Linked DNA regions of Kluyveromyces lactis. The protein of the gene in region 2 purifies or fractionates together with the protein of the main gene of each other region. This does not show direct contact. Links are inferred from orthologs where the notes say so. Each region holds a gene or a part of one and is shown on either strand. Other genes may lie near its edges.

The links.
Region 1: the proteins of YTM1 (region 2) and SPB1 purify together in Saccharomyces cerevisiae (affinity purification with mass spectrometry, with the first as the bait; 3 studies listed by BioGRID). This does not show direct contact. The link is inferred for Kluyveromyces lactis from reciprocal best matches to the Saccharomyces cerevisiae genes YTM1 and SPB1.

What each region holds. Positions count from the first base shown.
Region 1 is NC_006039.1:51,702-56,029, reverse strand, and holds SPB1 (27S pre-rRNA (guanosine2922-2'-O)-methyltransferase), read right to left. Parts: upstream 2,843-4,328; coding exon 341-2,842; downstream 1-340. Other genes in the region: PBN1 (Pbn1p), read left to right, coding at 1-252; KLLA0_C00715g (uncharacterized protein), read left to right, coding at 3,843-4,328. UniProt on the Saccharomyces cerevisiae protein: Required for proper assembly of pre-ribosomal particles during the biogenesis of the 60S ribosomal subunit. Specifically methylates the guanosine in position 2922 of the 25S rRNA at the stage of 27S pre-rRNA maturation.
Region 2 is NC_006039.1:646,838-650,208, forward strand, and holds YTM1 (Ytm1p), read right to left. Parts: upstream 2,171-3,371; coding exon 836-2,170; downstream 1-835. Other genes in the region: KLLA0_C07403g (uncharacterized protein), read left to right, coding at 1-718; FSF1 (Fsf1p), read left to right, coding at 3,281-3,371. UniProt on the Saccharomyces cerevisiae protein: Component of the NOP7 complex, which is required for maturation of the 25S and 5.8S ribosomal RNAs and formation of the 60S ribosome.

The DNA.
Region 1 (4,328 bases), about 600 kb from region 2:
GCAGCATTTACTCCCCAAGTATTTTATGCCTGTGATACTTCCATTGAACTTACGAAACGGTCACCCTTCTATACTGGAAAAATCGGATATGAACACTTTTTCACTGACAACACCAAATTTTACTATCTAAATTCTACTAAAATGACAATTAACCTTCCGAAACTAGACTCATCTGATAACTTATGTATTCAGCTGTTTACCTTGGGATTGGTGCTCTTTTCTGTTTTGTATTTGATCAGAAAACTTTTTTGAAGTAGGTTGATCTTATTCAATATTCTATCTACGACTAAATATAATGTACAATTCCATTTCACGGATTAAGTGATATGATTAGCATTCCTTATTTTTTGTGATGCTTTTTAGCGATACGTTTCAAAGCCCTTTGTTCGTTCTTTAAAACACCGTCAACCATCTTATATTTACCCTTAACACCCTTAGGCCTGCCGGAAAGACCTCTATTCTTACCACTTGCAACCACAACTGTGACCTTCGGTTTTTGCTTTGCTTTCTTGGTAACCTTTCTCATCAATTTTGCAATTTCTTCAGCCTTGTCCTTTTCAGATTTATCGCTGTCATCATTAATTAGACCAGCCTTCTTCTTCAACTTTTCTAAACGAGCAACAGCACGGTGCTTCTTCCTGGCTTTAGCTTCAGCAACTTTTTTGATGGGTCTGGCATTTAGAGCCTTCAGTTTATCCTTTATTGCCATGGCTGCTTCTTTGGTGATAGGCTTATTAATTTTGGAATGTTGTTTTTCTTCTTCAACGAACCATTCGGGCAGGTTTTCCATATCACGGAAAGAATATCTATTGAAACCCTCTTCGATTAAATCATGTTTCGTTTTGTGACCTAATGCCAATTGATGAGCTAGAGTCATAGCTTCAACGGTCGCAATATCAATGTCTTTGGAATGTTTCTCTTGTTTTGTCCTCTTTGCCTCTTCTTCGGAATCATACTCAGAGTCTACATCGCCATCTTCGTTGTTTGCGACGATTTCGAAATCACTATCTTCGTCGGAAGATTCGGCTTCAGAAATCTGCTCTGCAGGAAGTGGATTCAATTTTCTTTTCTTTGTTAGTTGTTTGACATCACCCACAGACTCTGAATCCGCAAGATCCGCCTTACCAGGTAAATCTGGTTCAACTCCCTCGAATAAAGAATCGGAAAATAGCGCGCGAGCTTTAGAACTTAACTTGCTGCTGTTTTCTCTACTTTTCAATTTTGCTATCAACTGATTGATAGCTTCATCATCGTCAGAGTCTGAAAGATCCGAGTTGTCATCGTCGTCAACATAATCCTTAGTTTCTTCTTCGTTCTCTTCATCACTTTGTTTGTCCTCGAATCCATTCCAGTTGTCCGCTTCACTGGATTCACGGGCTTGCTTAGCTCTAAACTTTGCATCTCTTTCTGACTTGCGTTCCTTATAGTTACTGTACATGGCATCAAGTTGGGATTCTAGTTCATCAGCCTCAGCGAGCTCATCACGATCATCCAGAGGCGCATTTTCATCAATGTGGATATCGTTATCTATGGCTAATTCATTTTGATCAAATATCATTCTTCTCTTACCCTTGGCAAGTTTATCAAGGATACCCGTTTTTTCTGCAGTTTTCAAATTGAAAATTGATTCTCTACCTAACTCTGCAGCTTCGATACCAATGTCTACTGGATTGATCATATTTAATTGCATACGAACAATTTCCTTCTGTTTCATTTCGTTCTTCTTTCTCTTCTCACGCTTAACAGACAACCTTTGTTTCTCCTGTAGAGTATTTAGTTCTTTTTCAATCTGCTCTTCTTCTGTCAAAGGTGTTTCCTCAATCTCTGGTTTTTCTTCCTCTTCATCCAAGCCTAAAAGTTCTCTAGCTGCTTTTCTCCATTTTAGGATCATCTTGAAATCTTTTCTACCAAGAACCTTTAAATCTTCGATACATGCCAAGAATTCTTTGGTGGTTTGCTTTAATTTCTTCACAATTTTCCAGTCATGATCTTCTTCGTCTACGATGAATTTATTATATTCTCCAAGCATAGTTATTGGGTCTTCTGATTTCATAAAGTCCATAAGACCAGTTTCATGGTATAACAAATAATCACCTTCCTCGTAACCACCTCTTTTTCTGACCTTTTTTTCTGGATTAAAAACCTTGGCTTCCATGTTTTGTGGACCATCTGGTAATTCTTCAAAGACTTCCTTTGGGTCTAATAGCCTTGGATCCAACTTCTTAGGGGCCTTGAAATTTTTGCAGACAACGAAAATTTCCGCAGAAACATTTCTGGAAGCAGGAGGTTTGGTTGCCTCCACCTTTTCGAAGAGCTGTTGAAATACCCAAATTAGCTTGTTGTAATCTTTGGATCTGAAGATCTTCGTTACAAATGTACCACCAACTACTAAATTTTCAACGGCTAATTTTAAGGCTTGCAGTGTTAAATGAGACTGTGTGAAGGCATCTTGAGCCCAACTCAAACCAACATTTGGAGCACCATCGTGTAAAACGGTGTCGGCTTTCCACGTCTTCATGTACCCTCTTAATTTCGATCTACAATCTTCCGTTGTGATATCACTTTGGAAAGTAATAACGTTTGGCATAGTTTTCATCGGAACAATATCGACACCAATAATCAAGGAGTTAACAGGACACAAGTTGGAAGCCACTTGACACCAGGAACCTGGTGCAGCACATAAATCGATAACGACCTTCGACTTCTCCAAAAAATGTCCATACTTTTCATTGATTTGAATGATTTTGAAGGAAGAACGAGCTCTGTAGCCCTTTTCCTTAGCAAGGTAATAGTACTTATCTAAACGACCTTTGGAATTCTTCTTTTGCGTCTTCTTACCCATCTTGGTCTTCTCGGTAATGTATGGTGACCTATTCACTCAAGTCTAAAAGAGAACAGGATATCAGAAAGCAAATAAACAACAGTTGTAACCTGTTCAACGTTCAACTAATCTCTTCTCATCTCATCTCATCTCATCTCATCGCTAGACCAATTTCTCAAATAAAAAATTGTCACTCTTCTCACAAATAATGAAAAATTATCTGAAAAAGAAATAATTTTGGATGCGGTGTTCGGGTTAAGAATGCTCGCGGTACCAGGTATGGAAACACCGGACACTGTACTGGAGGAACTGCCAGCTTTGATGCTATGCACGGTTTCCACTGTTAAAATAACGAGCAGTAAAAAATCTGTTTGGACGTGTTATCATGGATATTGATATTACTGTAACAACACAAGACTTATATAGAGGGCCCTTAGCGTTCCACAGTTTTAAATAAGGAATATGATTTCGGTTTTTTTTCAACCATTAGCACTGCCAACGTTTACAAATAATTATGCAACGCTCTCAGGCTATAAGGGTACCGATGCTTATAATATTTCTGCAAGATTATAGGTATGGGTAGTTACTACTATTGCTACTGCTGATCATACCATAGGCTAAATAAATTTATGACCGCCTCTCGAAATAGAGATGCATTCTATGGCCCTCTCGGTCCATTGGCAGTAACTGCAATCTTATATCCAATTATCACACAACATAATGGTTCCCGCTTATACGTAGGTGTATATATAGCCTAATTCATCCGGGTTCAGTATCACTATATTTGGCCAGAATATCTGCGTATTGTACATTCCAGCCAGTAGAACGATACACGTTACAGACAGAGAAAAAAGGAAGAAGAAAAGCATTCCAAAATAAAACTGCAAAAATCAAAAATCCTTTCAAGTACTTACTTACTTGATTAATTTATGGTTGTATGAGATACTTGTACATAAAGTATTGTTTAATTCAATTGCGCAAGATATCAATCTAGTATCCACTGCGTTGAATACACGGGAAGATGAGTAAGTATTCATTTGAAACGATTCAGTTTAAGGAGACTCCTCCGGCGGAAACTCCTGAACCAGTGAATTCCAAATATGGCGTGAAAACGACAGCATCACCAGCTATTAAGAACGCTCCATTGCCTGCAGAGGGACCTTCTTCCAGACACTTTTCCAATTGGTTATTATTCTCCTTGCTCGGTGGTATTCCTTACTATGTAACAAGGAAAGTTGGGGGAGGTCTCAAAACCTTCTTGTTCTTTGCCGTACTGTTTGCTATCCCAATTTTAATGGCCTTTTGGACAATTGCATCCACTTACTCTCCTCGTTTGAATGAGAAATGCAAATTACCAGGAAAACCAATTGAGTACTATTTGACCTTCCATGATGATGCTTTGAAGGAAAAATACCACGGTAAGAAAATTCCTATGGAGACTTTCCACGAACTGTTTTTCGCTAATAAGGTCTCTTTCAACTTTGATGCTTTGGAAGTGATGGAGTAC
Region 2 (3,371 bases):
TCACATTGTCAGAGATTGGTGTGATGTTTATGATTTGGAAAGAAAGCCTCTTGTAGATTTCATTGAGGAGTCTTTCGGAAATTGTGACATCGATGAAGACACATTAATTGTTGTACCAGGATCTGGATGTGGAAGGCTAGCTTATGAGGCAGCCAATCGATTTCCAAAAGCAAAGGTTACATCTATTGAATACTCGTCTTTGATGTATTTGTGTAACGAATATGTCCTCGGAACTACGGACAATATCACCGTTGATCCCTTCTATCAAATTTATAGTGGTCAACAAAGTATGGAAGCGCAAACCAGGCACTTTAGGATGGACTTGGATAAGTTCCAAAAGCCAGAGAACTTAACAGTACTTTTCGGTGACTTTTGCTGCTATAAACCAGAGAAAAAATACAAAAATATAATAGTATGTTCTGCATTCTTTATTGACACAGCAGCAAACATGTTTGATTACTTCAATGCTATTGAGATGCTTTCTAACAATTGTACAGGACGTTTACACTGGGTTAATGTTGGACCGTTGAAATACGGAACTAGACCACTAGTACAATTCACATACGATGAGCTAGCAAGACTACGTAAATTACGTGGATGGGAAGATCATTCCAACCAGGTTGATGTTAAAAATTTGAATGGTTACCTAACAGACTACGAATCCTTATTCCAAGGGTTTTATGGTCTAGCCAAATTCCATTCGGAACTAAAAAGATAATTAACATTAGAACCCTGCAAATACTATGTTGTTTCTCAACATTTTTTGTGGTACATTTCTTTTATATTTAAGTGAACTAGTGAGCATAATTCCTGTATATAATATATAAAATTACGATTAGTTACTAAATATATTATCACCTTTATTAATTTGAATTTTTTTGTCTTGACCACCGCTGATGATACCTACGCCTTTAGCCCATTTGACAGCAAACACTTTATCATTGACACCTTTAACAACATTTTTATCTTCTCTGGTGATAGTGTACATTGCAGTGTTAGACCTAACATCCCAAACCTTGACAGTTCCATCGTGAGATGCAGAGCATATCATATATTCATTTTCTGGACAAGTATCCAAAGCGACAACGAAGTTCTTGTGACCTACAAGCTGCTGTTGGGTGATTTTAGATGAAGAATTTACACGAGGATCATGAAGAGTAATGTGTCTGGCACTCGACCCGCATGCTAAGAGATTTAATTTTGGTAGTTGCGCAACAGAAAGAAGTGAGTACGATGTCGTCTTTGTATCGACACATTTTGCCGTTATCAGATCCCATGTTTTTATAGTATGATCTTGTGACACGGAATACCCAACAGTATCATCCGATTTATCGAAAATGACAGCCTCTACTGGAGCACTGTGAGATTCAAAAAGAGCCAAAGGGGCTCTTCTTCTGATAGATCCATCTTTTAGAGTCAACTTTCTCCTCTTCTTGGCTGCAGTAGACACGTTGCCTCCTAAATCCTCCATCGGATCAATGACAGTCATCTCTTTATAATTCGTGGACCACAAGCTCACCGTATTATCGCATGATGCAGATAGAATACGGTCTTTCGAAACATCAATGGACACTACAGGGGCTTTATGACCTTCCAAGATGGCCAATGTCTTACCATCCTCAATTTCTTCTTCATCAATTGATTTCAAATCATCATTCTTCGTTTTCCACAGACGTAGAGTGCGATCATTCCCTGCGGACACCAATCTCGTACTAGAAATGTAATGCACAGCACGAATAGGGCCAGAATGACCACTGTATTGTTTTTCGACTTTCCCTGACAAGTTGTACGTTCTTACGATACCGTCATAGGAACCACTGTAGATGTAATTGCTTCCGACATCCAATGAGCTTACCCAATCTTCGTTATCAAAACTAGACAAATATGAAGGTGGTAGCACTGCTCTAGTATATTCAACATTCAAAAAGGTTTCCGATGATAAACCTTTCTTGATCAAATAGTCCTGCAACGATGTTCTCAAAAGTTCACCATCGATAAGGAAATCAAATGGCATAGATTTAGGTAATTCCAGTAGGTGATTAACAATTTCAGAAAGACCATATCTCTTTAGACTAACTGGAGCATAGATTGGAGCATCATTGACATGTAAAGTCTCATCTTCTTCACGAGTAAAGAAGCGTAGCTTCACCTGAGTCTTATCTGTTGACATATTCCCCTACAGTTTACTTCTCCTTATAACTAAGATATTCTTCCAGTGAATTCTAGTTTGAATTGTCTAATAGATTGTGATCGCACGTTGTTACTGAGGTACGATGGAGCGCGTTAACTCTATTCTTCCTATCTTGTACATTTTCTAAGCGTTGTAAGATGCGATGAGCTTGGAAAATTTTTGGGAAACAAACCACTGCTCGAAAAAGAAATCCGCCAGAAATAAATGCCAGTCACGTGTATATGTTTTAAGGAACCGGGTAGTGGAAATTAGTCAGTACACCAATAGCTAAGTGACAGACTAATGACCGTGTAATACTAAACATTTTCACGAGTAATATATGGTATATACAAGTATAAGTAAATTCAGGAGTGACAAGAGATAGAGAATGTCCCGCTCACGCAGCTACCAATTAAAGCCAATTGATGAAAAATAGTTAAGTACTTTAATCAGTATGAGGTACGCTCGCGGATAGAATTTTCATCTAGCCGTTCTTTTCCCCTCTGTTCATCTACGGTGTATCAGATGGCACAGTGAATAGAAGGCATTAATATGTTTCGTATCACTTTTTTAAGCCAAATAATCAAAAGAACAGTCGACTCGAATTTGATTAACTTAGAGTACTTGCTTTAACCTTGTCTTTTTCTCAAGGTGAAAAGCTTCTCAATTTATACTGGATGTCTGTTCTTTTTTTTTTTCAGGCAGAGAAAATTAGTTGTCCGGGTAAATTATCATATTACCTTTAGACATGTTAAGAATATGATTAGGGCAAAGACAAATATGTTATTGCTAAATTGGAAATCGAAGTGGTTGGAATCATCATCGTTTCACTAGTACAGTTTCTCCGAGAATAAGAGAATTATAATAACCTATTGCTAGATCAATAATTACTGTCTTTTTTCTTATCAGAATTCCAGCAGCTTTGTAACGCCGTACGTATCATTCTGACGCTGCAGAATGAAAAAAAAAAATGCAAGCTCGAGAGAATAATGCATTTATATCTAAAGAGTCATCTCATCTCGAAAGTAATTAAGCAAGAACAAAGTCGTGTTTGTCTCGTAGAAGCTCAGCTCATCCAAAAGACTTCGATACACTTGAGTACAGCTTATCATGGCATCCAGTGTCCCAGGTCCAATTGCCCTACCAGAATCTCGTTATGATCTAAGCACCTATTGGGGACGTGTTCGTCACTGCGCAGAGA